Mytilus edulis: one gene and its partners. The protein of the gene in region 2 purifies or fractionates together with the protein of the main gene of each other region. This does not show direct contact. Links are inferred from orthologs where the notes say so. Each region holds a gene or a part of one and is shown on either strand. Other genes may lie near its edges.

The links.
Region 1: the proteins of protein FAM98A-like (region 2) and ataxin-2-like protein purify together in Homo sapiens (co-immunoprecipitation; 3 studies listed by BioGRID and IntAct, with this or other methods). This does not show direct contact. The link is inferred for Mytilus edulis from reciprocal best matches to the Homo sapiens genes FAM98A and ATXN2L.
Region 3: the proteins of protein FAM98A-like (region 2) and RNA transcription, translation and transport factor protein-like purify together in Homo sapiens (affinity purification with mass spectrometry; 4 studies listed by BioGRID and IntAct, with this or other methods). This does not show direct contact. The link is inferred for Mytilus edulis from reciprocal best matches to the Homo sapiens genes FAM98A and RTRAF.

What each region holds. Positions count from the first base shown.
Region 1 is NC_092349.1:93,597,663-93,608,221, forward strand, and holds the start of ataxin-2-like protein, read right to left. Parts: upstream 5,001-10,559; 5' UTR 4,581-5,000; coding exon 4,522-4,580; intron 1-4,521. Other genes in the region: TBC1 domain family member 10A-like, read left to right, coding at 5,488-5,627, 8,592-8,691. UniProt on the Homo sapiens protein: Involved in the regulation of stress granule and P-body formation.
Region 2 is NC_092345.1:24,241,887-24,252,372, forward strand, and holds the start of protein FAM98A-like, read left to right. Parts: upstream 1-5,711; 5' UTR 5,712-5,733; coding exon of another isoform or gene 5,734-5,804; intron 5,805-8,290; 5' UTR 8,291-8,382; coding exon 8,383-9,807; 3' UTR 9,808-10,486. Other genes in the region: uncharacterized protein C05D11.1-like, read right to left, coding at 1-175, 611-769, 1,048-1,130, 4,086-4,233. UniProt on the Homo sapiens protein: Positively stimulates PRMT1-induced protein arginine methylation. Involved in skeletal homeostasis. Positively regulates lysosome peripheral distribution and ruffled border formation in osteoclasts.
Region 3 is NC_092346.1:102,673,921-102,684,367, reverse strand, and holds the start of RNA transcription, translation and transport factor protein-like, read left to right. Parts: upstream 1-6,275; 5' UTR 6,276-6,386; coding exon 6,387-6,447; intron 6,448-9,565; coding exon 9,566-9,790; intron 9,791-10,447. UniProt on the Homo sapiens protein: RNA-binding protein involved in modulation of mRNA transcription by Polymerase II. Component of the tRNA-splicing ligase complex and is required for tRNA ligation.

The DNA of each region.
Region 1 (10,559 bases), on a different chromosome or scaffold from region 2:
CTGTTAAAAGTCCTCAGCGAAATATAAAAAGAAGTATTTCAACAATTTATACTATAGAATATTAAAATGAAATTATATCGTACAAGAAAGAAATATGTAAAAAAAAATGTGGATCGGATTTTTACGATCGACACATTTTCACAGAGGATCTCTACCAACGCCCATCAGGAACTGAACGACATGCATCCTGTTTTCATCTACCATTAATGTATAGTGTTGACTATGGAAGTATAAATAATGTCCAGGTTTATGTCCTCTGTTGACTGAGAAACGTATAAATGAAAGGCTGATGTTCGTTTATTCAGAAAAGGAATAAAATTTAGAATCCGGTTAATCAATTGTAAAAGGACCTTCTAGAGCCTCAATCTTAACGCACACAAATGTCAATCATTACATGAATTTTCCCACGGTTATCCAGAAAGGTCACCTGAGTTTACTGTTACATGATACTATTTCCCGCCAAATAAAAATCTCGTGGACAAAATTGATGTCACTATTTTTAGCATTCAATATTGTGAGCGATGTCAAGTTCAAGTTCAACCACGCACTGTTGATCACTGAGATGCGTGTCGTCTTCCCACGGCAATTAATTGTTTTAAAAATATTTAAAGATAACTGTTCTAAATACAACACAAAGGTTTACATTCATTGTGCGTAAATGAATATTATGCAACGACGAGTTGATGCAGCTATAGAAGTATTCCTGTTGTAGCCGAAATGTATTATATCCTAAAGTAATGCTAATCGTGAAGAGAAAATGCCGTAGACTTATTAAGCATAACGAATGGTGAATAGTATTTTCTTTTTTACTTGCATATACAATTACAAGTTTTAAGACACGTAATTTTCTTTAAACTCACTGCTCACATTTTATACCTTCAGCGTTAGTTTCCGTTTATTTTCACGCAAGTATGTCTCTTTTCGTAAGTTATATCAATTACCGATAAATAAAAAACGAGGTCATAATCAAGTATAGATTTTTTTTATAAAACTTTAATGCAATTGAAAGCATTAACAACAACGTTTTGGATTTTAAAACTTTTATTTTGTAATCGTAAAATGGAAATGGCGTAGAATTATTAGCATAACAGATAAGGAATAATATTTTCTTTTTTACTTGTAGTATAAAAAACTTTGAGACGTGTAATTTTTCTTTAAACTGCCCTCATTTATTCAGCGTTAGTCTCCGTTTATTGTTGCACAATTATATCTCTTTTAGTAAATTAAATATTTATTTACTGATAAAAAAACGGAAGTCAAAATCAAATATAGTTGTTTAAAAACTTGATTAAAATGTACAGAGTAATTGAAAGAATTAACAACAACGTTTTGCTTTTTATTTTAATCTTTCATTTGTTTCAAGCAATCAGATATAACCTGATAATCAATAGACAGGAAATACAATTGTTTAATTACATTAGAAATCTCACATACCTTGACTGTCGCGTGCCGGCATAGATCAGACGGATTAGGGCAATTAATTACCTGGTGTCACACCGCGTCACACCAGACTGAGAGAGATGTCGCTAATACAATAAACAAAAGGTAGCGGATTTACGCGGAAGTCGGAGGGAATACTCCCAAATTTCTCCGAGAATTTTGGGAGGGATGTCGGAGTTTCCTGGTGTTACACCAGGAAAAATATCGGAGTATGGAGTTTGGGATTACAAACTCCTTGGGCGTACTGTATGAATATCAGGTACAATCCCTCCCGTTAGGGGTTTAGTATCATACTATCATAAAATATATGAGAAGAACATAACCCGTGTCATGCCAACAACTGTTTTTTTAGAAATAAATGTGTTTAGTTCCGATGCAAAGACCCTATCAGTGAATCAATGTTAAAGCCAAAATATGCAATCTTTAATGACCTGACAACAGTATCGTAACTATATCCCCTTTTAATAAGTCTATTTAAAGGTTTTGTTAGTTTCTGAGGAGAATACTGACATTTTTGTGCTTTATAAAGAATATTTCCATAAAATTTTGGATGTGAAATACCTGAACGTATAAGATGTCTGCATGTTGAGTTATATTTACGAATTATTTCCTTATACCGGTGATAAAATTTAGTAAATGTTTTGACCAGTTTGTGATATCGAAAACCCTGGTGTAATAATTTTTCAGTAATACATAAATTTCTCTCGCTAAAATCTAATACATTGTTACATACACGAGCGAATCGTACAAGTTGAGATATATAAACACCATAAGATGGTGACAAGGGAACGTCACCATCTAAAAATGGATAATTAACAATAGGAAATGAAAAATCATCTCTTTTATCATAAATTTTTGTATTAAGCTTCCCGTTTATGATATAGATATCAAGATCGAGGAAAGGGCAGTGGTCATTGTTATCATTAGCTTTATTTAAAGTAAGTTCTACAGGATAAATTTCTTTAGTATACATACTGAAGTCGTCATTATTTAGAGCCAATATATCATCCAAATATCTAAAAGTATTGTTAAATTTTTGTATCAAATGTTGTTTTGATGGGTCTTTGCTAATTTTAGTCATAAATTGTAACTCATAACAATACAAAAACAGGTCCGCAATAAGTGGTGCACAGTTAGTCCCCATTGGAATTCCAATAACTTGACGATATACGGAATCTCCAAAGCGAACAAAAATGTTATCAAGTAAAAATTCAAGTGCATAAATAGTATCAAAGCATGTCCAATTGACATAGTTCTTTTGTTTATTGCTACTAAAAAATGATCTAAAAGAGTTAGAACATATGTACTCGCATTCCGACTTTTTAAATGCCCAGTTAATTAGGGATGTGAATTTTTTCTTAATAAGAATATGAGGCAAAGTGGTATATAGGGTAGAAAAATCAAAACTTTGAACAGATTCAAAATCACCAATATATGCATGCAATTTATCAAGTACTTCCAATGAGTTTTTGACACTCCAAAGGTAATTAATTCCACTATTTTCAAAGGCCTTATTTGAACAATTTATTATCAGGTTTTTTATTGTACCAAGTGTACTAGTAAGTAAAACAGACAATTTAGTAGTTGAACAATGGCTGGAAGATGAAATAAATCTATATTTGTAAGGTTTTTTGTGCAGCTTCGGAAGCCAGTACATAGTTGGGACTTTCATTGTGTTTATGTACACCTTATCGCTATTTGGAATGTCCTGCTGTGGTGTCAGATATTTTCTATTATGACGTCAAAATTTTAGGGAACTTATGTCCAGAAATGGAGAAAATAGTGATAAAAGTGTATTAAGGGGGAAAGCAGAATTATTTAGGTAATTTAAAGCAAATAATATAACTTATCATGCTTGTGGGTTTGTAAGTTGGTGAGTTTGCAAATCTTGTTCATAATGGTATATACATGAGGTACTGCAGAATAAGAATGCCATGTATATGTTTACATTGATACATGTACCAGTTTTCAATGGTACAAAATAACTAAATTTCTTCAGGATTTTTATCTTAGTGCTCCTGTAAAAATATGTAATTTCTCATTGAGGGTGGTAAAGGGTTATTTTCGTGCAATGTTTTCAGCCTTTTTATTTCCCATATTTTCGTGTTTTGACATTTTATTTCTCGTTTTCTCGTGTTTGGCTCAATTTGAGTGCTTCGTGTTTCCCCTTATTCTATTTTCCGTGTTTCGTGACTGTGCTCTTTATATCTTGTGCATGTCCCGCAATTTGTTATACTGCATACCTTCTGAAATTTATGAAATCTAATAGTAATTGGTGTATGTTGTTTTCATTCTACTTTTGCATTATGTATGGTATCATTGAAGTCCATCAAATTACTGTGAATATTTTTTTCTTCATAAAAGATGCAAGTAGCGGACACTTAAAGTGGACCGGAAAGTCTCCATGTCCATTAATAAGGCTGTATGATCACCAAGAACGACTGAGTAAAAACTTATGGTACTTTTTCCTTAATATTTACCCCTTTATTTCTCGTGCTTCGTTGTCCTCAATTTTTTAATTTTTCGTGCAATGTTTTTGAAATTTTTATTTCACATGTTTCCGTGTTCAGTATCCCCCTTTACCACCCTCCGCATTTAATACACCTTATCGCTATTTGTCCGTCATAGCTGGATATCACACAGGTTCCCATAAAATTTTGACGTCATACTACAAAATATCTGACGCCACAATGAAAAAGTGATTGTTGTATGTGTCACAAGTTCAAGCGGCCGGGTCAGCCGGGATTAGCGATAAGGACTTAAGGTGTATTGAAATTCTTCATATTGTCATGATAATCAAGAAATGTGTCAACTGAAATAACTTTTGGACATTTTATCTTTAAAAATAATTTAAACGTTTATTTTACAATCTGGTTTAATTACAGTTAAATATAATGTAAATTATTCGCCAGACCGAAATCATGACCGCATTGAATGATGAACAACGTGTAACATCGAGATACTGAGACTGACTTGAGGATAAAAAAAGTAAACAAAGGCTGTTGGCTCACTGACAATGAAATTGTCTAAAATGACATGATGATGAGGGGTAAATTGTTGTGAGACACCGAATAAAAGCACCTGTTTCCAGTATTTGTGTTGGGTCGATGGGTTCTGTTTCTCTTTTGACTGTTCATCATGGAGGTCCTGTCAGGTCGTGTTTAGAATGTGATCCTCTCCAAATCAGGAGTTCATATCGGTACAAAATATGTACCGATCTCTTCCGCAAATATTATAGTTTAAATATAATGTCACTAAAAGCAAATCAATGCAATATATGTTAAGTGTTGGTTTGTTCAATCAAAGTTGATTTATTCTGCCACAGGCTGCTACGCGGTAGAATATATTTCTGCTATGGAGGACGCACTACTTTTCTTATATTAAATTTTATAACTATTGCCTCTTTTTTGCAGATTTGATGCTAAACCATTTATTAACATCTTTTTATTACTATTTTTATTATTATTTACAGTATCCCCATAGCTGTGATATCAGATAAATGAATACATGAATGCGGACTATTTCGGTTGTTCCAAGAAGTAGTGAGTTGTGTGAAAAAACCAATGTCGGTCTCTCTCGATTTGACCCCAATGAAATTATTTGAAAACAACTAGACAGTCTATTGAAATAAGACCAGTCATTACACTATTTGTGTGAAGATTTTGCATGGTTAAGTTTATTTAAAGCGAAAAGAAATGTGAAAGAAAGTCCGATAATTATTTCGTCATGGTTCAATGAGCATGTGTCATAAAATTGTAAACTTCCGGTAGACACCACTTCCTGAAGATCATCAAGCAAATAAATTCTGGGTTATAACAGTTGACACCCTTCGTCGATCAGTCCTGAAAACAAATTATTTAAGTGCTGTTGTTCGTAGATAAAATAAAACAAGCTGTCATTGTTCGAGAGGACAGTTTCCAATCTTTTAACCAGCCCAAGACACCTCTAACATCAACAATCTATAAAAAAAATAATTTAGTAATGCAAGGCAAAGCATGACTTAACATCTAAAATAATATGTACATGATAGACATCTCATTCTAAAACATGGCAAATGCAATTCCAGATGATAGTCCGAGAGACACGAAGGAGATTGAGAAAGGAAGGGAAATGCAAAATGGGAGTGCTATGGCTCATGTCGATAGATTTGGTTTCATGGGTGGTGACCAATATACTGACCCAGACGAGTAAGTTTATATCCCAAACAATATGCATCAATTAATGAGTCAGTTAAGGTAACCGTAGTTTATCAATTTTTAAATCTTTTAGGAAATGACATAGGAACCTTGATACATCTTGTACTTTGTAGCTATTCCCTCTTGAACTTTTGACATTTAATATATACAACAATAACTGTTCCATTGTGGCATCAGATATTTTCTATTATGACGTCAAAATTTTACTGGAACTTGTGTGATGTCCAGTAATGGTAGCCAACTAATGATAAGGTTTAATAGTAAAATCTCATTCTGAAATCATACATTGTATGAGGATGGTAATGCTCTTTACCGTCAGGTGTCAAACAGTCATTTTCACTACGTTAAGCGTCAAATTGTTTAAAAATTTAGCATCATTCGTCAAAATATCCTTATTGTGATTGGTCAGATGTCTCAAATAATTATTACCGGTTTTTTTTGAAAAAAATAGCTTGATTTGTGAAATTCAGCTGATTTTTTATCGTCTAAAAGAACATGAAGAAAGTGTACATTTTATCGTCATGTACTAAAAATTACCTTAAACGTCATTTGGCAAGAATTTTTACCATCATAAGTCATTTATTACTACCCTCTTGTTTATGGGTGGTGCCAGTTACCCAACCAACCCTAGTTTAAAGCCACCTCCCCTAGATTTTTTTTTTTCATTTCTAGAAAATGAATTTGTAAATGATGAAATTTTGAGAAACATGAACATGATGAAATTAAATATAAAATTCAGACTTCTGTCATCTGAATTTCCATCAGAAGTAACCACTATGGCTAAAACTACAACAAATTCTAAATAGAATGCAAGAAAATAGTCACATAATTATATATCAATACAAAGATACACACAAGAACAAATGAAGAAGATCAGTATGGGTGCCAATGAGGCAACTCTCCATCAAAGTACAAGTTTTCATATCTTTATTTGAGTAAAAAGATACAACAGCATTTACAGTTTCTTGTGTATAATTCAGAGTTTAGTATGAGGGTCCATTATCACTGAACAGTGTTCCAGCTAGGATTTCAAAAGGGCAGGGTGCCAATCCTGAAAAAGGGCATTTACCGTGTGATATGATAATATGAAAAGGGCATGTTTTAATAAAAGATATTAATCAAACATTGTGTTTATTCGTTGAATCACAGGTTATACAAAAACAACATCATTAGCCCATATATAACTCTATCTTTCTACTTTGAAGGCTAAAAAACTTATCAAGCAGCTTGTCGCACAAGTTTTTAGATCATTGCTTGGCACAGTTGAGCTTTATATGCAGTATGTTTTGAAAGGTGACCTGTTTCCATACCCGTAGCCAGAGGGGGTTCGGGGGGTTCGGACGAACCCCCCTCTGAAAACAAATAAGCACTGTTAAAGTCAATGTTCTGTTCGAATTGTGACTGTTAAAGTCGAGTTTGTGAGTCCAACGAACCCACCTTTGGAAATTCCTGGCTACGGGCCTGGTTTCTTTCTGTTTCTATGGTCTGGCACATTTTACCAGTTTCACAGTTTCTACCCCTGCTGTGCTTAATGGCAATACAGCACAAAACAGCTGTGCCCAGTAATATATACAGCCCAGGATAAACAGCAACAGGGGAAAATTGTATCAAAAATAAAAAATACAGAAAAAGATGACCAAGGCATCCTACCAACACTGCTACTAAGACTCTCTTTAACTTTTCCCATAACTCAAAATACCTAAACATATATATTCTTAAGCAGGAAGTATGTAATATTTTAGAATATGTAAGGTAAATGAGGGGGGATAGGACCTTTATCGGGACTCAGGGATCGGGTGTTTTTAAGCTCGGGATTTCTGGATTGACCCTTTCCGGATCTGAGAATCCTTCTTTTCGAATTTCGGGACGTCAGGATTTACTTGATTTAAATTCGGGACCTCAGGATTTCGTTTTTTTAAGCCGGGGATTTCGGGATCAGGACCCCTCCTATCCCCCCTCGTAAATGAGTTACTCAATGCTAGGAAAAAATTGAGTTATCTTTCTTTATTTGGATGTGCTCCTTCTTTGGAGGATTATAAACAGTACGTAAATATAATGTAAATAGAAAACAATATGGCGGCCGATTTTGTTATTTTCGTATCATAAATGAGGGCAGTCAATGACAAATACGTCTGAATTTTCTGTTTATTTCATGGAAAACAAGTAAAACAATGTTTTCAACTAGTTTTTTATGGTTTTCAAATTTCTGTCATTACGTTTTCTCCATGAAACTACATGCAGTAAACATTTCAAATTGTGCCCAAGCACATTTCTTCAAAGGTAATTGCCGAAATTAAAGTTGATGATCATTAATGACCCATCCGATAAACAGATTACCTATAACGACAGATTATGACACCAGTTATAACTGTAAATTAGCTTGGGGTCGTAAACAAAGTCATAAACTTTTCCCCAGGTAAAATTTAGTAATTAGCATATCATATCAATATGAACAAATTAATATACAATCGATCTTCAAAAAGGCAGGGCGCACTGGAAACTGTAAAAAGGGCACAGGGTGGCACTTGGGAAAGGGCGGGCGCTGCGCCCTCTGAAAATGGCCTAGCTGGAACACTGCTGAAATTTATCTAATATAATTCGAAGGATGAAAATTACTGACCCATTGATATTTGACCTCAGTAAAATTCTGTGTATTCATGTATATAAACCATACTTAAGATATGAAATGGTAACCTATACCAGCAGGACGTCTGTGTATGCCTTCGTTAAATTTGATACATACATTTGTACATGTATATTATAACATGTATAACCATGATAACACAGCATTCAGGGCCTCTAGAGGAGTTTGAAAGTATGATTTACTGCTGTCCAATCAATTTTACTTTGTGAACATGGTCATGATGGTGAAATAAAATGTGTTTAAACTCTCTACAATCATGACAATGCTACATGTATATATATACTGTGAATGGTTGTACTGTCTATTTTCAGTGAACACAGGATCTCTTTTGAGAAATTAAGGAAAAGAGAGATGAAATGGCTGGAAATGTTTGAAAATTGGGAAAAATGTATGAGTAAAAGATTTAAAAAGGTAAATCATGTATGAATAAAAGATTTAAAAAGTAAAAAATATATGAGTAGAAGATTTAATAAAGGTAAAAAATGTATGAGTAAAAGATTTAAAAAGGTAAAAAAATGTATGAGTAAAAGATTTAAAAAGTTAAAAATGTATGAGGTCCGAGAACACAATTAATTTGTAGTGCATTTCTTTTAGAACATAAATGAAAATTAAAAAAATCCCACCTGCGCTTTCTCAATGAAACTTTTAGTGTGTTGTACTACTTTTGGGACAAATTTAAACTTCATCGTCTCTAACTCAAAATATGGACAATTTTATCTTTAGGGCGACTTGAAATCTTTTGACAGCTTCCGAAGTGCTATATTTCAACCTTTTTCACCTGGACCAAATCACTACTTTCCTTTAAAATTCTGGACCCAAATTTTTTTACAGTGTAATTTCACCCCCTTACTCACAATTTGAGGCATTAAACATGGAGAAATTAATTTGGAAGGGGTATTAAAATTAATGGCAAGTAACCCACTGTTAACACTAGAGACTATATTTGTGAACAACGAAAATCAAGGGACGACAATTGTGGTCTCGGACCATGAGTAAAAGATTTAAAAAGATAAAACATGTATGAGTAAAAGATTTAAAAAGGTAAATATGTATGAGTAAAAGATTTAAAAAGGTAAAACATGTATGAGTAAAAGATTTAAAAAGGTAAATATGTATGAGTAAAATTTTTAAAAAGGTAAAAAATGTATGAGTAAAAGATTTTAAAAAGGTGAAAAATGTATTAGTAAAAAATTTAAAAAGATAAAACATGTATGAATAAAAGATTTAAAAAGGTAAAAATTTATGAGTAAAAGATTTAAAAAGGTAAAAAATGTATGAGTAAAAGATTTAAAAAGGTAAAACATGTACATGTATGGATAAAAGATTTGAAAAGGTAAAAATGTATGAGTAAAAGATTTAAAAAGGTGAAAAATGTATGAGTAAAAAATTTAAAAAGATAAAACATCTATGAATAAAAGATTTAAAAAGGTAAAAATTTATGAGTAAAAGATTTAAAAAGGTAAAAAATGTATGAGTAAAAGATTTAAAAAGGTAAAACATGTACATGTATGGATAAAAGATTTGAAAAGGTAAAAATGTATGAGTAAAAGATTTAAAAAGGTAAAAATGTATGAGTAAAAGATTTAAAAAGTTAAAAATATATGAGTAGAAGATTTAAAAAGGTAAAAAATGTATGAGTAAAAGATTTAAAAAGGTAAAACAAATATATTTTATATTTTTATTAATACAAATTTCTTACTTTATTTACATGTTTACTTTGATATTTAATATTAACATGATTAATCAATTAAATCAATCATATTATGAACTTTCTTTAACCTACGTTTAATTTATTTTATATTACGTTTGAAAATTATATTGTAATTATTCTACTCATCCAGCCAAACTGAATCTATCTCATTCCCCCAGATTTAAGATGGACCAGAATTCATAATTGAAGAACTAGACATATCATAAAACCAATGATAAAAATTTCACTACATCTAAACATGTTGTAATTATATAAGAAGTGTTTATTAAACTGGAATATGAATTAAAAGAGATGTGTAGTAAAAGTCAACATGACATCAAGCCAAGGACTAAAATAACCAAGAGAGACATAACATGCATAAAGAGAAACACGAAGCCTTCAACAAGTTGTCTATAACAAATGAACATGTAAAATATATCTTAATCATGTAAATTGGTGTGGAAAATATACACGATATATAACATGTATAAAGAAATTACTTGCAATTAGAATAAATATTTCCTTGTCATGCCTGTTACAATATAGTGCAATAATATGTTTTTAGTACGATACAATATGATGCAATAAT
Region 2 (10,486 bases):
TTATGCCCCCTGTTTCAGATTTGTATCCACAGGTTCCTGGGTACAAAGCTCTGAGCATGGCTAGGTGACATCGACTTTCTCCTGTGTTCTCTCTACCTTGCATTTCACAGTATACAACCCCAGCATTTTCTCCTTCACCTGATACATGATGCACCTCAGTGATATATCCAGATTCCTACAAACAAAGTATAAAACAACCAATCCATTAATGTATTAATTGTATTGTACTGTGTTCAGGTAGATGCTTCCTTTATCTAGGGGAACCCTCAGTGTCAGAATAAGGTCCTCAATAAATGAGACAAGAAGGGTATTATATTCTACTCTTTCCTTGTAAAAGGAGCCAAATAAATCAACATTTGACAACAACAAGACCATGATGACTATCTCTACATGCTCTAATTGAATCATTGATTTTTTTCTTTAAACCATAAAAACTGGCACTTATGTGATAAATTTTATACTATCAGACATCATGGACAATTTTGTTTTTAAATTATGTTTCTGGTCCACTACCCTTTAATTAACCCTTCATAATTTACAGAATAATTCTCAAATAACAAAAATATATTAAAAAGCTTTTTCTATTAACATGAATAAATGTTTATCTTACCGTAAGAGTTGGATACAAAACATGTTCCACATAGACTGGTAAGAGTTTGAGAAAACCTTCACTACCAGCATTGGTCATGGTATAACAGGTATGGTCTGTATCTGTCCAGGCATTGGTTCCTGAAGCTAAACATCTGTTGGCTAGTAAGTCCAGTACACCCTGTATATAAAACATGAAAGGTCTCAAATGCTTATAGGTTCAGCTTTCAATCAGATTTCTATGGACTGAATATTTGATAAAATTAGGGGAACTTTTAAACCTAATATTTTTATTCATTGCTAAATTATATTATAACCAGCTAAATTTTGTTAGGACCTGTTTCAGTTATATTTTACACAAAACCAAAATAAAGCAAAAGATATCACTTTGCAGAGTACTGAATTTCTGTGGGAGCATCTTCCTTGAAACAATTATGAAGCCCTTTTTTATAATTATACCTTATATGGATATTCTTCACTTCCTAAAAAGATAAGATGCTCTAATGTGTGAGGCAAACCATCGTCATCATGAGCTTCTGTGGCTGAAATTAAGCGTATAAAAAATTCATTAAATATCAAAATGCTATGATAAACAAATCTAAAGTTTTCTCTAGATCTGGTTTAAATTTATTTTGCCCAAATAATTGCAATCTAAAGTTTATCAAGTTGCCATAAAGTTCCTCACAAATGGAGGACCTAGCTTACAAGCTAATTAAAAAATTAAAAAAAACAATAGCATATGTTTATATTTGTGTTTAAAGTCAACAATCTAGTGACAGAGGTTTTCTTTGTTGATGTCCTTTTAATATATTGTTTATCAAATGACGAAAAGATACTAGATTGATATACAAAATATTTTATTACTCACAGATCAACTTTAGCTGTTGAATCAGCTTTCGTAACTAAACTTTATTTTTTGTAACTCACAACTAGACTTTTTTCAACTCACAACTCTGCTTTTGTAACCATGGTAACTGGACAATCAACCTTTTTTTACTTGTAACTCGGAACCAGACTTTTTGTAACTTGTAATACGTTGTACATGTACATGTAAATTCACTTTTGTAACTTGCAATTCAACCTTTTTTAACTCACAAGTCAACTTTTTAGTGTACAACTCAACTTCTGTAACTCATAACTTGACTTTCTTAACACGGACATAGTTATATAGCTAACTGTGTAACCCTCTTAAAATAAAGTATTGTTGTTGTTAGCTCCCAAATCGACTTTCTTAACTCATAACTAGATGCGCATGCTCTATATACAAGAAGACACCTTCATCAGCTGAATCAGGGATAACTACGCCCATAGATAAATCAGACCTACTAATAAGATAACTTGGAATGTCTATGAGGACAACTTGGACTGTCACTTGGCATTTTGTCATTTATGTAGTTTCATCTTCTTGCCAACCTTTATTTTTTCATAGGTAATGATGGTCAGTCAGGGGACTTACTTAAATGAGTGATTATTAAATCACTGATTCAAGTAACATTATGTTCATAAAGGTCGTAAGTTAGAGTTGTCTTTCTTTAATAATCACCTATTTAAGTAGTACAAATTTATCACTAGACTAAGTGATTTAATTTTATTGTAGTTTTAAATATAGAATACTAATGATCCAGGGACTAATTATGTTTCTAAACTTATCAGAACCAACATCTGTGTTGTCTAGGATGACCAGGTCATGTCAGGTGATGACCTTGTACTGAATCTAGGATAATGACATAAAAATCACTTGTTTAAGTATCATACCTCAATTTCCTTAAAAAAATCACTTTTTTAAGTATCATTGTTCTAATAACCCCCATTAATTTCAACACCCCCCGAACAGTGAATTTTTTATCGCGAACAGTAGAATTTTATTACATAATCTGAAAGATGAAACCTTGAACTTTACAGGAAAAATACTCCCACTGCTGGGAAAAATCTGTGAAGAAAGTATCAGTTCATTAAGTTAGGCCATTATTATAGCATTTTATCCACTAAAATAGAATTTGCAGCTAAATTATTGCACCAAAGGCATACACCTTTCTACTTAAAAGAAGCAAAAAGTTCATTTTTTTCAATTTTACTAATGAAAAGATATTATCTAAACCTATGTGTTTAAAATTTTAGTATAACTACAAAATCACAATTTATAACAAAATTTCTAATCACTCATTTAAGTAAGTCCCCTGACTGATGGTACCTCAAATGACCGAATAACATTGTTATCCGAATAACACTTGTAATGACCGAATAACACTTGAAATTTTAATATTAGCACATTTTGGTGACTTTTAAACATTGATTATTAATTATAAGTATATTATCGATGTATTTTGTAACTTAAAAATGATTTATAGAAAGCAGACAAGTTCATAAAAAACTTTAAAAATTTAGTATGTAGATCCAATATGGTGACCCACGAAAATCACAATGGTCGCCAAGTTCGATGTACACACTAAATTTAAATTGATCTTTATGAACTTATCTGCTTTCTGTAAATCATTTTTAAGTTATTAAATACATCGATAACATATTATTATTCAATTATAATATCAGATTATTACATGGCATTTTTCATATCGCATGTACATTGTATTATCAGCCCTAGGTTCAATATCAGCCCAAGAGCCGCATGGCTCGAGGGCTGATATTGACCGAGGGCTGATAATACATGCGATATGAAAAATGACATGTTATGATCTTTTTATCATATGCTTCAACAGTAAAGAACAGATTCATATAATGATCCTTTTAGAAAAGAAGTTCAAAGAGTGAAAAGTTCAGGGACGTCGGACCCAAATTTTGGTACATTCGATATGAGTCTTTCTAACATATGCCTCAACAGAGAGAAAAAAACCATTTTAACATGGACGAATCGATAAAAAAAAATAATTCAACAATATACATAATGAACATTGTTTGGAAAAGTCAACCTTTTTTAAAATAACTTTCTAAATTATGTTTGAAACTTTTAAAAAATGCATTTATTAAATAATTTTTTTTTTTTTTTTTTTTTTTTTTTTTTTTTTTTTATATTATTTTACACAATATATTTTCCAGTATCCAAATAATTGTTTTGTACACTACTTTGTAATGTTTTTCACTGAAAACGTAGTATTGAGGTGTATTTTCCGGAATTTGCCGAGTATCACCGGAATGCCATGTGATAACGTTACGGAAAGGCATGTGATAACAATCGAAGCATGTGATAAACTTTTCATATCAGCCCGCTTAGCACTAATTGGAAAAAATATGAAATATACGTTAATTTAATGCTATTATCATACGGTAAAATTCATGTTATTTAGTCTAAGTATATGATAATCAAATTTATAAAAGTCACCAAAATGTGTTAATATTAAAATTTCAAGTGTTATTCGGTCATTCGTGTTACCCATATATCATTCTCATCATCAGCTTCCTCATAATGTATAATCAATAAATTATGTATCAAACTGTAATTGTTAGACGTGTAAGCATAATTTTAGTAGACCCTTCCAGCTTACCAAGGCAAAAGTATCCATTGACAAGAGGACCTCCAACATCAGCTATGAAGATAGTGAGGCCAGTTTTACCAGATCTATATTTTGACACTGGTATATTTCCGTCTGCTTCGACTGAATATACCAGATCAAAACTTGACTTTTCCGGCATTTTTGAAATTGTGTTAGTGTGTTCAAAGAAAACACCAAAGACATTCCGAAAAGAAACGGTCTCACTAATTAGAGACAAGAAGCGTCAAAAAGTGACAAGAAGAATAAATTTAGCGACAAGAAGCGACTAGAAGACTATTTAGTGACAAGAAAACTTTTAAAAAAAAAATATTTATATAAATATATTAAAAAATATGCAGGCATTTTTTTTTTATATACGGGCAGTTTTTATTATATATGAGAACCATCTAAAAATACAACTATAACCATTTCAAATAACGCACCACAACGACCTTTTTTTATCGACAACACTTTCGTAAGATTGTTTCTTTTTAGAACTATTTAAAAATCCTACTAAAACCATTTTTAATGTTTTAGAAATAACGCATCACAACGTCCCTTTTTATCGACATACTTTCGCCAGAATGTGTCTTTTAAGAACCATTTAAAAATTAAACTAACACCATTTTTGTATGTTTTAGAAATACCGCACCACAACGACCTTTTTTATCGACAAAACAATCGCCAGATTGTGTCTTTTAAGAACCATTTAAAAATTAAACTAACACCATTTTTTATGTTCTAGAAATACCGCACCACAACGACCTTTTTTTTTATCGACAAAACAATCGCCAGATTGTGTCTTTTAAGAACCATTTAAAAATTAAACTAACACCATTTTTTAATCGACAAAACAATCGCCAGATTGTGTCTTTTAAGAACCATTTAAAAATTAAACTAACACCATTTTTTATGTTTTAGAAATACAGCACCACAACGACCTTTTTTTATCGACAAAACAATCGCCAGATTGTGTCTTTTAAGAACCATTTTAAAATTCAACTAAAACCATTTTTTATGTTTTAGAAATACTGCACCACAACGACCTTTTTTATAGACAAAAATATCGCCAGATTGTTTCTTTTTATAACCATTTAAAAATCCAGTAGTCCTTCATTACCTGAAGATTATATACTGTTTAAACTTTTGCGCTGCGTGGCCTATATATATATATTTCACAAAAACACACAAATAATTGAAAATGAATTTTGAGTGCGTACTTCTTTTTAAATTGTGATCAATATTATAACAAAAAAAAAAGAAAATCACTTTATTTATCACAAAATATTAAATCAAAATGTCAATGCATTCTTTTTATGTAAATTATTTTAATAATATTTTTTAAGTTTTCTTGTCGCTAAATCTATTCTTCTTGTTGCTTCTTGTCGCTTCTTGTTGACAATTAGTGAGACCAAAAGGAAATACTAAATTAAGGACTACAAGAAAGAGCCAGTAATTAGAAGTTTGATTCTGTATCTGTAGTGGTACGTGTAGAATCCTGTTTAGGCTTTTATATACGATTTCAGTTTTTCGGGGCAAATATCGCGAAAATCAAGCGAAAATCCCAAATCTTGCATGGAGTTTTTTTTTTTTTTTTTCAGATACGAGGTAATTTGGCCAAGTTAGGAACACTGCCATATTTTAGCAAACTCATAATATTATGTTTGGACTATCTCTAGCATATTCGATTCATTTTCTGCGAAAACGTGCATGTGGCATGTCTAGAATGGGGTAATTTGATCAATTTAGCTTTTAATTTGAACATGTCATTCTTCCAATTACAATGAAAGAGATCATGAGTGCATTGTATTCCTGGTTTTCGTTTATTTTCTCTCAATAAATTATGATTTTCCTTATTTTGTATCTAAGCAACTCACTTACTCAGCAAAAAAAATATTTTACTTTATCAGAAACAAACAAAACAAATCATAGATGAAAACGATACTTTATATGTCTCCGAATGAACGTAAGGTACATCATAATAAATGGACAAATATGGCCGTATTTTCACCTCAAAAACTACTCTGTGTACAGACTTACCTGTGCTGTTTGGAAATTTTTAAGGCCTAGCATCCACTAGATATATAAAAGTTTAATGCATTTTGTGTTTAAGAAAGATAAAATCTTTTTTGGTTTTTGATGGGCATTTTAATATTTTTCCTTTCTGGAGAAGGTGTGAAAATAAACAACACCTGAATTACTTTTACACTGTCATGACTACATGTCCACTTAGATAAACTCTTTAACTCACCTATAGTTGTGAGGATACCTATTGTCCATGTCAATTAAGAACATTCAATAAAATACAAACCAGTTTTTACCTGAGGGAGCATCTCAAAGTTGTTCCACAACTTAGTTTATTTTCATACCTTATGCATGAAGGAAAAAAAATGCCCATCAAAATCAAAAAGAGATTTTATCTTTCTGCAACACAAAATGCATTTAACTTTTATATATGTATTGGATGCTACGCATTAAAACTTTTCTTACTGGACAGGTAAGTCTGTACTCAGAGTAGTTTTTGACATGTAAATACAGCCATATTTGTCTGTTTGTTATGATAAACCTGAAATGTATTTTGAATTGGAACTACCATACCTACTTATTTATTTGGGGCAAGAGACAGTACATGAACATAGACCTTTTGCTGGGCCTGAATTATAGTAAATTATATTTTCCATTACGACACCTAGTCCAAATACATTAATAATTGATGTCTTGAAAGGCTTTTTTTTTTAAATTCTGCTACGCCTTCTTATGACGTCATAACGTTGAAACAATTTTTTCCGTCTGGACTTAAGAGAGAGAATTTTGGTGAGAACTGTTGAGACCCAATTTTGGCATGAAATCTTCATTGCCAGCAAGAAAATGTTTGCGTAGTTTGAAAGTCTTACCTTTTTAGTGCTTTTTGATGCACAATTAAATATTTCCAGAAATAACCAAAAGAAACCATTTGATGGACCCGATTTATATTATCCAGGAAATTTGAGTCTGCCAAATTTGACAGAGTTTGATATTTTATACTATCTGGAACTGACATACAAAAATGTATTTCAGAAATTCTGGGAAACCATTTTGAAATAAAAGAAAATATTTGCTCTCCACAAATGGAATCTTATCTTATTTTATCATTTCTTTAAGATATTTCTGGGAATGTTTCATCATGATTTGTCTAGTGCAAAGATTGGTCATGGTGGTCCTAATATGTTACCATGTGAAGGACACAGATGACTTTAAGGGTTATATTTAACATTATTATCATCTTTTATAATAGTATTTTACATGATTTTAACTTACACTAGTTTAATTGTATGACAACAGCGAAACAAGAAGTTTGAACAAAATTAACCTACATATTAGACTGGGATTTATAAAAAAAAACTACTTATAACCTATAAAATGAAGAATGGAAATATTTCAAACTATTTAACCATGATCAATATTGGAAGAGCTTTTGAAGTTCCCTGATGGGTACAGCATTTTGTCTATATTTATAACTACCATTGGGAAATGGCCCTGATGGATAATGAAGCAACACAGAATTGCAGATAAACACAAACAAAAAGGTTAAAGGTAAGTTTTTTCCTTCAATTAATTGATGTCTGAGTTTGAATGGATAGGGTACAAAATGTTTTACCAGAAAGTGTGTCAGGTTGTTTCAGAATATATATAAACTTGAAACTGTTGTCATACAATTAATTTTTTTTGTAAGTTAAAACAAGTGAAATGATTTAGAATGTAATCTGAGAAGTTCAAAAACCAAATATGGAAGTGCCTATCCCAAATGCAAAAATTTAAAGTAAAATTTTCAAATTATTTGATACACTTGTTTCTAGATATATAGGCAAGAATCAGTTCATATAAGAAAAGATTCAGCAAATATTTAAGCTTCAAGTTCAAACATAACTATCTGAAATGTTTCATGATTTATAATATTATCTTGCTTTCTGAACTAAAACATGAAATATGAAAGCAACAAGAATACATTCGAAATTAGAATGGAATATAAATTAAAATTGAAAAAAGTCTTCTATGAACTTGGTGAAAGATTATCATGGTACATACAAGTAAAAAAAATAACTGTTACATATCTCCAAAAAACACATTATTTTTCTTTGAGATGTTATTAGACAATGTTAGATGGCTAAATGCATATACAAAAAATGTAAGATACAATTATGATTTAATGATCAACATGAGCATAATTTTATTTTCAGTGTATGAATGCACACTGCATCTAGTATCAAAGATAGACAACTTATCAGGACACTAGTAAATATCATCACATTCAATTACTATTGCTGATACAATGGAAAACGATATTTTAGATTCACTTGAAGATTTAGGGTATAGTGGACCAGCCCTAGATGATGGAGTTTTTGACAGTTTTGTAGAGAATGGGCCATGTCAACAACAATTTACTGAATTAGTATCTTGGCTCACTGATCAAATTAAATCCTTCACTGGATTAGAAGAACATGTTAATCCAATAACGAGTTCAGAGGACTCAGCAGAGTTTGTCATGGAGCTAAGTGGCTTTCTCCGAGAATTGATTTGTCCTTACAATCATTTATATGAAGGAGGCCCAGTTACAGAAAGAGTAAATTCTAAGGAAAACAAACTACAGCTGTTGGATTATTTAACCTCTGAACTTGCTACAATCAGAGTATTAGCTGTTAAAAAACCTGGTCTTCTCAAAGCAGCAGATCAGAATAAACCAGAAGATGTGAAAGAAAGTGATGTTGCTAAGCATTTAAAATTTATGTTGATGGGATTAAGCTTTCCTAAACCACCTGTAAATGTAACATCTTTTCAGTTATTTAGCAAGGTTGAAAATAAGATAAAAGAAATATTAACAAAACATCCTATGCAGGTGGGTAAACCTTTATTAAAGGCTCGCCTTTCTGATATGCAGTGGGAGCAAATATTAAAGATAAACAATTCCTTAGCACTAGAATATCAGACAAGACGTGAAATGTTACTTAAAAGACTAGACGTTACTATACAATCATTCATGTGGGGTGATAATGCGAAGAAAAAGCAGAATGATATAGCAGCAGTCTATCAGCCGATTAGAAAGTTGCTAATGGGAAAAACTGCTATAAGTGTTGCACAAATACTCGCGGCAAGGGATGATTTAACTAGATTAGAGAAAACAAGCAGTGGTGAAGCAAGAGATAAAACAAGATGTGCAATAAATAAAGTTCGTATTCCAAAGGTACCAGATAGAGGGGGAAGAGCATGGGAGCTAGAGCCTCCACCTCCTGAAATGCCATCATTTGTGAAAAGAGTAGATCAACCCCAACAGCAAAGGCCTCAAAGTGGTTACAATAGCGGGCGTGGTGATCGAGGACGTGGTGATCGAGAACGTGGTGGTGACCGAGGAGGAGGTGGGCGTGGAGGTAAAGTACAAGGTGGTTGGGGAGATAATCAAAGTCAACAGTTTGGTGGTCAGTGGAATCAGGGAGGAGGTGGTGGTCAAGGAGGAAGAGGAGGTGGTGGCTATCAAGGCGGTGGAAGTGGTGGCTATCAAGGTGGTGGAGGTGGTGGCTATCAAGGTAGTGGAGGTGGTGGCTATCAAGGTAGTGGAGGTGGTGGCTATCAAGGTGGTGGAGGTGGAGGAGGACACAGAGGAGGAGGAGGGGGTTATGATCAAGAAGGACGTAGTGGAAGTGCAAGAGGTGGCAGAGGTGGGAGGGGTGGTGGACGTGGAGGAAGAGGGGGAAATAGATAATTATGTTATTAACACTTAGTTGTTGAATTTTTCCTGACATTGAAAATGTATGTTAATATTTTTTTTCAAACTTTTAACAGCTATTTGATAAGCATGTCAGATAAGATATAAAAGTAGGTGTTTTTTTTTTTTTTTGCTTACCCACAAAACATTCGGCTACCAATTTTTCTTCAAGAAATTCCAAAGTGAAATATTCATGAATGTTAATTATTACTATAAACATTCTGGAAGTAATTTACAGTTTATTGGATTTAAAAACTTATCACTATTAGTCAATCCTGTTAATATTTATCTCGGTGGCAGGATAATTAATTCACATTTGTATTTAATTTCATTTCTGTTACAATTAGATTTTTGTAGTCATGTTATCTCACTATTTATAGTACCAGAAATACTTGCATCTAGTATTTGCTACCAGTACGGGTTAACAATAAGAATGGTGCAATTTTATAATGAATTATGAAAAATTAAATTCTCCTACCAGATCTATTTTGAACCCAACATTGATTGTTAGATCAGATTGCCTTTATGGAAGGTATTTTCTAAACATGTGTTCTGTCTAAACTCTAAGTGCTATATTGTATTCACAGTGCTATACATGTTTATTGTGGGGGTGATAGAAGTAATGTAATTCACTTTGCGTTACGAGTTTTCAGCCTTGACCTATTTTACCTATATT
Region 3 (10,447 bases), on a different chromosome or scaffold from region 2:
TCCCCAAACTGAACTACAATAGTCTATATATGGTAGAATATATGCATTATAAAATAGTTGCCTTGTGTGTATTGGCAAATATACTTTAATTTTATATAAAAGTGATATTTTAGATGAGATAATTTTACATATATACGATCAACATGATCTTCCCAGCTTAAATTTTCATCAATGTCAATTCCAAGTAATTTGAAAGAATGGAAATTCTCAATGCATGTTTCGTTGACGGTAATACATAATTCTGATAGTTGTGTAAGTTTTTGTTTTGAACCTAAATTTATACGCTTTGTTTTTTGTGCATTGATTTTCATACTGTTATTGTTACACCAAGATTGTATAGCATTTAAATCATTTTGCAATATGCTGTTTATTTTTTCAATGTTTTTATCATGAAAATGCAATGTTGAATCATCAGCATATAAATTCATGTTGGATTGTATAACATGAAGTGGTAAGTCATTTATATATATCAAAAATAACAGCGGACCTAAAATAGAACCTTGACGCACTCCATACTTTACAAACGATTTATCAGATTTAATGTTGGCGTATTAGACTTGTTGTTGTCTTTCAGACAAATATGATTTTATTCAATCTATCATGTATTCTCCGATATGATAAAATTTTAACTTTTCTAAAAGTATGGCATGGGTAATAAGGTCAAAAGCCTTACTAAAATCTAAAAACACTGTACCAACTATTCCTCCATTATCTAAATATTTTAACCATTCGTCAATTAGTTTAGTTAGCGCTGTTCCTCAACAAATGTACATATATGCAATGTTATGTAAACTAATGTGTTTTTCTGTATACTACCTTTGTCCAACTTAGGTGATACCAGAACAAAATGATATATATGGCACGAATGACCTTGTCTGAAACCTGACTGGGCGATATGTAACAATTTTGTATTGTTTAGGAATTCATATAACTGTGTGAAACATGTCTCTCGAAAATTTTAGATATGGTATTTAAAATAGAAATTGGACGATAATTTGAGGGAATATCTCTTGGTCCTCCTTTATGTATAGCAGTTACTCTGGCAAGTTTTAATTTTTGCGGAAAACGATTTGAAGTTATACTTTTGTTTATTAAAAAAGTTAATGATGGCGATATTATTTCTGCACATAGCTTTAAAAAAATTGGGACCAATTCCATTTAAACCTGTGGATTTATTAATATTAAGATGTTTTAGTTGAGAACACACCTCTCCAACAGACATGAGTTTTAAAAAAATTTCAGTTTTCTTTAATTTTTTACCAGTAAAATTTTGTAGCATAGAAAAATCAATATCTGAAGTATTATTTCCAATAAGTTTTTCAGCTACGGATGAAAAATAAACATTAAGGATGTACTTAGGTGAGGTTAGGTGAAAATTAATAAATTGAGAAGTTAAAATTGATACTATAAGCTGGTAGAGCATCAATTAAGGATAAAAATAAGCTAAACATATTGATAGGTCATGGACCTCCTTTACGAAATATTTGAGATTTAAAATATGGCGGGAAAAGGCTGACTCGGGCTTTTACCTTATATTTGCATTGGTATTATTAGGTCTCAAAGCAAAAGAAAGAAAATTAAGAATCTTCTGAAATTTGGTAAATGACCTTTCATGAGCTATTAAGTCTTAAATGAAAAAATAAATGGGTGTTATGGGGCAAAATATTTTACATTGTATTGTATGGAAAAACACCAAGGGGTCCGAACATTTGACACAAATTCCAAAACCTCACCTAAGTACATCTATAATACTAAAATTACGAGGTCCAATTTGTCAGCCGTCATCACGTAAAAACGACGAATCACAGAATTCAACTTTATATATAACTAATATAGTACAAAGGTGTAGGTTAAAAATTTTGTTTTCCACGTATTAAATTAATATTGCCAATAATGAAGAAGTTCCGGGTCGAGTCCGCTACCGATACCAATAGTATATTCACCTGTTACCTATTACCTTATCTGTACGTTCCGCATCTGACAGGCGCACCACCAAACGTTGTATTCAGGATTAATATGCTATATACACGGGTCATAACCACAGGGTTGACACTACTAAATTGTCAAATTGTTACCTATTGTTGTATTTTAATCAGTTAGACTTTCTAAGATAACAATACGAATACTAAAAATCTGGACTAAAAATAAGGCGTATCAGTAGGTACAGTTTTCAATTTGTTAGTGGGCATGACGTAAAACAGCGAGGCAAAGAATTCAACTTTACTTAAAACTTATATAGGACAATGCTGTTGATTAAAAAATACTCCATTCCAGGACCTTTTGTTTTCCAAATAATTAATATTACCAATAATTGATAAGTTCCAGTTCGACGGGTTCAAACAGATAGACTTGAAAGCAGAGAAAAACTGTGTATCTTATAATCGGCACGACTTTAACAGATGACAATAATAATACTAAAATAAGGCTTGCGCATAGTTATATACTTTAATTCAATCACGGACCCGTGATATCACGGGTGTGTTCTAGTCCTTATAAAGAGTATTTACAATATCTTGGTTTTTATAAACAGTTTGATTTTCATACTGCATTTTAGTTGGAAAAAATATTATCCTCTTTTGGATTTTACTCTTTAATATGATTCCAAAGTTCTTTACTATTTTTGGAACTAGTTATAGTTTTGGTAATATTCCTTTTTTGCATTAAAGAGGGGGGCAAGGGGGGTCCCCATAACAGCAAAACAGTGAATTGATTTGGTGAAAAACAGATAACAAGGAATTGAAAAGGGATAATAACAGATAACAGTAAATGAAATATGAAAATAAATCTGCCCAGGACCAATCCAGTAGATGACTCGTAGATCTTAGTATATAACTTGTGGTATGGACCTAGAAAATTGTAATTTGTGTAAACAAGACGTTTCGGCCGTTGAGGCAGTTCTGCCTTGGTTGATTTTTTCCGTAACTTGTACAATAAGTTATAGTATGATTGTTGAATTTTTCTAAACGAAATTACTAGTTTCTGTTTTTGATATAGGGAAATTTTTAATCTAGGGCATTTTTGGGATCAATTGTTAATGATTTAGGTTTTTTTATTTAATTTTTGAAAATAGTGCAGCCAGTGACACTTTATTATCAAATTGATTTTTAGATTTTTTTTCTTCTGAAAAGCAATATACATACTTTACAAGTAATAAAAAAAACCATTGATGCACAATATATTTTTTTTATTTAATGACCTCATGATAAAACTTACTTATAAAATACAAAAATACCCAGATCAGTTGAGACAGGACATGTAACTGAAACACGCATGCCAGTTATGGTTCTTCTGATAATAGAAATTGCCTCAAGTGACAATTCTGATAGGATAATAGAATTTGGACCGAGTGAAAATTTGGATGACACCAAGTGAAACACCAATCATGCATCTTATGTGAAATTATAGAATATGGAAAATTTGGGTACAGCATTGGAGAAGCTGTAGGATTTTTAAAAGGGTATTTGTTGAAAAATTAAACTGAAGACACATCTTTATTTGCATCAATGGTTTCAGAGCTTCAATTTTCGCCATGTGAAGCAGTTAAAAAGCTTTTAAAAATATGGTGGTCAGGGTTCTCTTTCATGTAAATGAAAATAGGGGGGAGTAGCACTTATAATATAAATGCTAAAAGAAAAAGATGTTGTATAATTTCAAAAGTCATAATTCAAACCCATACCACTTAGTAATATAAAACAATTCAAAGGAGAAAACTAACTGCCTAATTTATCCACAAAATAGTGAACGAGAAACTTAGTATACAGTAACAATCTACAATCACTGAATCCAGGATCCTGACTTGAAAGTAGGCACATACAGAATGTGATTGCGTCAACGTTAGCATGCTAGTTGGTGTCCAATCCTCCCCTAATCAGGAACAGTGTTGAAACAGTACAACATAAACATTATTATGTGGTCATTGAATAAAAAAAATCTATAGGGTGTTGGGTGTTCCAATGCTTTTTTTATAACAAAATCCATACTATAAGTTAATGTACAAGTAATAATTAAGTGAATTATAATTTGTACAAAATGCTACATGTTCACAGACAATGGAATTTATTACAAAGTATAATAATAATATATACTGGAATGGTCCTGGGTCCAATTGATTTTAATATGTTTATGTGATGTCAATCTAATTAAAAACCGATCTCTCATCGCTCCTGTTTCTGTTATGTCGCGTCCCACGCGACATATCAGAAACAGGAGCGATGAGAGATCGGTTTTTAATAAGATTGATGTGATGTATGTTACTGAAATTCTTCTGCAAATACAGGGCCACCCGATATTACCAGTAGAAAGACCCCAACAGATATACATTGTAAGAAGGTGTGGTAAGCGTGCCAATGAGATTATTATCCATTCAAATTACAATTTTCAATTATCTTCAAATTCTACGGAAGATTGGCTGTCAAAATGCTAACATTCCAATTTTCAATAACAGTTAACAGCAAATACATTCTCACAATAACAGATAACAAAATAGATAATAGTCCTATAACAGCTAACAAAGAATAAGACAATAACAGCTAACAGTAAATATATTTTCAGAATAACAGATAACAAAGAATTAAAATGCCCCATAACAGCATAACAGTTAAACCCCTTGCCCCCCTCATTAAATCAAGGACGTATATTAAGTTGTATATATACGTCCTTGATTAAATATTAACGACGTTGTTTTATTACTCCACTTTTTAAAGTTTACCCAATCTTTTTTTGAATGATACATATTCCTATATTGAATAGAATTTTTAATTTCTTCATTGAACCATTCGGCTTGTTTAAATGTTTTTATTCTTTTAGTTTTCATTGGTGCATGCTTGTTAATAACTTGATTAAAAAGTTCATACCATTTGTCAACAGCAATATCAATATCATCTTCCATTTCAACAATATGAAAAGGGGTTTGATGTAAGTCTGTACAAAAGGCATCTTCATTAAATTTTTTGAAACACCTATACTTTATTTCGACACGATTTTCTTTCTTTATCTTTATATTGATTTTTCTATTCAAGCATACAGGATATGGTCATATGAAGGAACATGACAATGGGCAATATTTTCAGGATTAGTAGTGTAAATCTGATCAATTAGAGTTTCCGATTTGTCACCGTGAAATACGTGTTGCAGTGCAAATTTGTTGTTGAAGATTAAAATTGTTTATGAAATTCATCCATTTTTTATTCTCAATTTTTATCAAGTCAATATTAAAGTCCCCCATTAAATTTATCTCTTTGTTTTCTGAAAGAGCTGCATTAAATTCCTCCTCAAAAAGATCTATCCAGGACTGAGGGGAATTTGGTGGTCTATAAATACTGAGTACAAATGAAGAAAGGTTTAGATTTTTGAAATTCTACCTCTAACCATAAAGTTTCTAATGTATTAATGGATAAATCAGCTCTATTTTTAACTGCAATAAAATCTTTGACATAAACCAAATGGCCACCAACATCCTTACTCTGGCGATCTTTTCTGAAATTTTTTATCCTGGCACTTTATATTGTTCAATGTTAATATTAACTCGAATAATTCAAGCCCTTTCCGTGTCCGATTTTCTCCGACACATGTAGCCTTCGTAGATTTTAAGAATGTATCAACTAAGGGAGCTACCATTTGATTTTTAGGGGGGGGGGGGGGGGGCTAGGATGAAATTTGAAAAAAATAGGCAGGACAGGAGTTTTGAGTTAAAAAAAAAGGCAGGATGAGACACTTTGCAAAAAAAAAAAGGCAGGATGACCATTTAGGTAAAAAAAAGTCAGGATAAACTAATAAGAAAAAAATGCAGGACCGAATAGAGTGAAAAATAAAAAGGCAGGACAGAGATTACAACTAAAAAAAATGCAGGACAAAATTTTTCATCCTAGCCCAACCCCATAAAAATCAAATGGTAGCTCCCTAACCCAAATAAATCTAGATATTTGTTGTTTATAGTAATTATATTTTTTAACTCGTCAAATTTAGATAGAATATGTCTAACATTAAGGCATACAGCATTGAAACCTTTACATTTTATTAAGACAGTTTGTTTGATAATGTTTGTTTCTATAACTTTTAGGTTTTGAGCTGAAGCTATTAGCACATATACCATTTCCTGATTTATGACAATTTTCTCTAGAACTTTTGCATCAGGCCTTACCTTCATAAATATATTTGAAACAGCAGCTTTCATACAAACATTCATCAACCTCTAATTGTGGTAGTTTGGGTATGCTTACGGTACATCGATGTCCTTCCATTAGGTTTCTCTTTAAGGGAAATAACTCAAATAACTCATGTGCACAATTGACTGGTTTATGATGAAAACTGAAACCAGACCACAAAGTGTGGAAACGTTGTCGTTGGAAACTTTTACTTTATTTTTTCTGTAACCTGTTAGCTAAATTATGTACAAAAGAAAACTCTTAGCTTTAGATTATCCTCAACCAGAGACGTTTAATCCCGAAGGTAGGGTATTGTATAGGGCTTAGAACAGTTTGTTTTTATAAGATGCAGCACCGATGAGACCGGTGCCCAGCCGTGTTTCTCTCCGTGTACTTCGGCTTCCTCCTCCATAATATCAATGTCCTGTATCATTACACCCCCTGGTAATTGGGTAACGGATTGTCCGTGGTGGTGAATTGTGTATAAGTTCCTGAAGTTAGTGATACACCTTAATTAATCCTTAAATCAATATCAATGCCAAAATGGGGAGTGTACACAGATTCTACTGTACCCAATGTTCGACCATACTTGTTTAGACAATACCATTGCTATCGTCTACTGTACTGTCATTTGGGCCACACTTTGTTAAGTCGTTTCAACCATGGGTTTTGTATCGCCTGCTTTGAAAGTCCCAGAATACAAGATACACAATTACAATCTGGCAGAGGTAACCACAACTGCGTAAATTATGTGTCATAAAAGCTTTATACTTCAGAAGTAAGAAACTATCCATAAACTATTTTAATGCCCCTGCGGTAGCAGAGGGGGCATTAAGTTTTACCCTTGTCCATCTGTGCGTCCATCCATCAGTCCATACATTCCTAAATTGGTTTGCGTTTTCTAACTTAAATAGTTTGTCTCAACCAAATGTATTGAAACTTATACACATTGTCTCAACCAAATGTATTGAAACTTATACACATTGCTTATTACCAAAAAAACACAGGTCAAGACTAAATTTTGGTGGTGTCACTTATACAGTTCAAGAGTTATGTCCTTTTAGAAAATCAAAATGTCTGTTCTGAAAATATAAAAGTTCATTTTTAAAATATCTTTGAAAATTGGAGTTATCTTTCTTTGTCCAGAATGGTAGTTAAATCAACCAATGGTCCGTGACCACAATTATTTCGTAGTGCATTTCTTTTAGAACATAAATGAAAAATTAAAAAATCCCACCTGCGCTTTCTCAATGAAAATTTTAAAGTGTGTTGTACTACTTTTGGGATAAATTATATTAAAATTACAGAAAACTTCATCGACTCTAACTCAAAATATGGACAATTTTATGTTTAGGGCGTCTTGAAATCTTTTGACAGCTTCTGAAGTGCTTATTTTAAACCTTTTTTAACTGGACCAAATCACTACTTTCCTTTAAAATTCTGGACCCAAATTTTTACCCCCCTACTTGCAATTTGAGGTATTAAACATGGAGAAATAAATTTTTAAGGAGTATAAAAATTAATGGCAAGTAACCCACTGTCAACACTATGGACTATATTTGTGGACAACGAAAATCAAGGGACGACAATTGTGGTCTTGGACCCAATGCTTTATTCATTTTTACTTCCAACTGATAAATTAAAGCAATCTTTACAAATCAGTGCTTACTGTTGTCAGGTCATTAAAGATTGCATATTTTGGCGTTAATATTGATTCACTTATAGGGTCTTTGCATCGGAACTAAACACATTTATTAAAAAACCATTTGTTGGCATGACACGGGTTATGTTCTTCTCATATATGTTATGATGGTATGATACTAAACCCCTAACGGGAAGGATTGTGCCTGATGTTCATATGATGAAATCATAATCTTTCAGTCAGTTTAATTGAAGTCTGGAGCTGGCATGTCAGTTAACTGCTAGTAGTCTGTTGTTATTTATGTATAATTGTCATTTTGTTTATTTTCTTTGGTTACATCTTATGACATCAGACTCGGACTTCTCTTGAACTGAATTTTAATGTGCGTATTGTTATGCGTTTACTTTTCTACATTGGCTAGAGGTATAGGGGGAGGGTTGAGATCTCACAAACATGTTTAACCCTGCCGCATTTTTGCACCTGTCCCAAGTCAGGAGCCTCTGGCCTTTGTTAGTCTTGTATTATTTTAATTTTAGTTTCTTGTGTACAATTTGGAAATTAGTATGGCGTTCATTATCACTGAACTAGTATATATTTGTTTAGGGGCCAGCTGAAGGACGCCTCCGGTGCGGGAATTTTTCGCTACATTGAAGACCTGTTGGTGACCTTCTGCTGTTGGTTTTTTTCTATGGTCAGGTTGTTGTCTCTTTGGCACATTCCCCATTTCCATTCTCAATTTTATTACAAGCACTTTGATTACCATTCAAGGGTTATGCCCCTTTACAAATGGAAAAATTACTAAATTTTTTCATTTCCATTCTCTCACTTTAAAAGTTTGTCTCAACTAAATTTACTGAAATGTATATACATGTATAATGCTTATTACCACTAAACTCAGTTTAAGTTCAAATTTTGGCAGCTTCACTTTTACAGTTCATGAGTTATGTCCCTTTATAATGTTAAACGCTAGTGGGGGCATCATCTGTGTCCCTATGGACACATTCCCCATTTATTTTGTACTTCAGAGATTCTACAAATGTTTTTGTATACTTCGTCCTGAAGATGCTGATCTAATGCTGATCTAATCGGGGTAGCATGTTGATCGATAAAAGATGCGGTTTTCTTAAGTGCTGCTGTCAATTTTGATAGCAGTATTTATGATATTTATTTCACAGTGGTTGGATACAAGAATTTTTTGGATGAAAAATGAACCTTGAAATAGATAGTTAGGAATGGAAATGCAAAGACTCAAATCAAGCAAAAGCTTTATACATAAATGTATTTGGCATGTCACATAACAATAACATAAGTTCTTTGGGGTGTTATAATCAACTATCTATTATGACTGTTTTAAGTCATACAGGTAACTGTACACTCTCAATGATTTACTTGTAAAAAAAACCCAGAAAACAGTAGTCTACAAAATACAACAAAGAAAAATAAAGACTGAGCAATACAAAAACCTGGGTAGATCGCATGTGCTCCTAAAGGAAAATTGGAACGCATCCTTCTGTGAAACAAGTCGTAAATTATGTTTTAATATTATGTTTGCACACAATACATTGTACATGTTCATGTACATTTCTTCTGTAGCTTCCCCTTGCAGACATTTTCCTAAATATAATGATAAAATTTTTAAATGACAAGTCTTAGAATTGTACTTGAAATTTGAATAGATCCTGGGGTACATTTGTACATGTAGTTGTTAGCTCCTAATACTAAAAGTTACATTGGCAATAGACAGTAATATAATATATTACTTAAAATTAATATTTTTCAGATGAGAACTACTTTAGAAATTTTATTGTTTGGTTGGAAGACCAGAAAATCCGACATTATAAGATTGAAGATAGGACAGGGCTACGTAACATGCCTAGCAGTGATTGGACAAAACATTTTCAGCAGTATTTAGAGGATTTAGGATGTCCTTACCAACCATCCCAAAGATCTTTATTAATTGATTGGATATTAGGATATTCAGTCAGATTAGAATATGGTGATAATGGTAAGAAATACAGATATAGATTGGAATTAGAATATTGGCCAAGTTGGGAGAATGGTACTAAGTAATGGCAATTTCTGAGAAAAGTCTCTGGCTGGAAGAAAAGTGTATTTATATTAATTTGAATAATCTTTCCTGGCATTGACATAAAAATACCATTTTACACACTCTATATTTTCCCGACAAATTGGATATGTGCAACAAACAGCCTTACAGAAATACCCACAAAGAATATATTTTCCATACATATGTAAATACATTCTGTTTATACCAAAATAACTTTTTATGCCCCACCTACGTTAGTAGAGGGGCATTATGTTTTCTGGTCTGGACGTCTGTTCATCCGTCTGTCTGTTTGTTCGTCCGTTCGTCCCGCTTCAGGTTAAAGTTTTTGGTCAAGGTAGTTTTTGATGAAGTTGAAGTCCAATCAACTTGAAACTTAGTACACATGTTCCTTATGATATGATCTTTCTAATTTTAATGCCAAATAAGAGTTTTGACCCCAATTTCACGGTCAACTGAACATAGAAAATGATAGTGCAAGTGGGACATCCGTGTACTGGGGACACATTCTTGTTGGGTAAAGCTTTTGCTCATATTTAAATATTTGAAAGATAAGATCTCAAAATGAGGCTATTTTGGTAGTTATGTTATTGATTG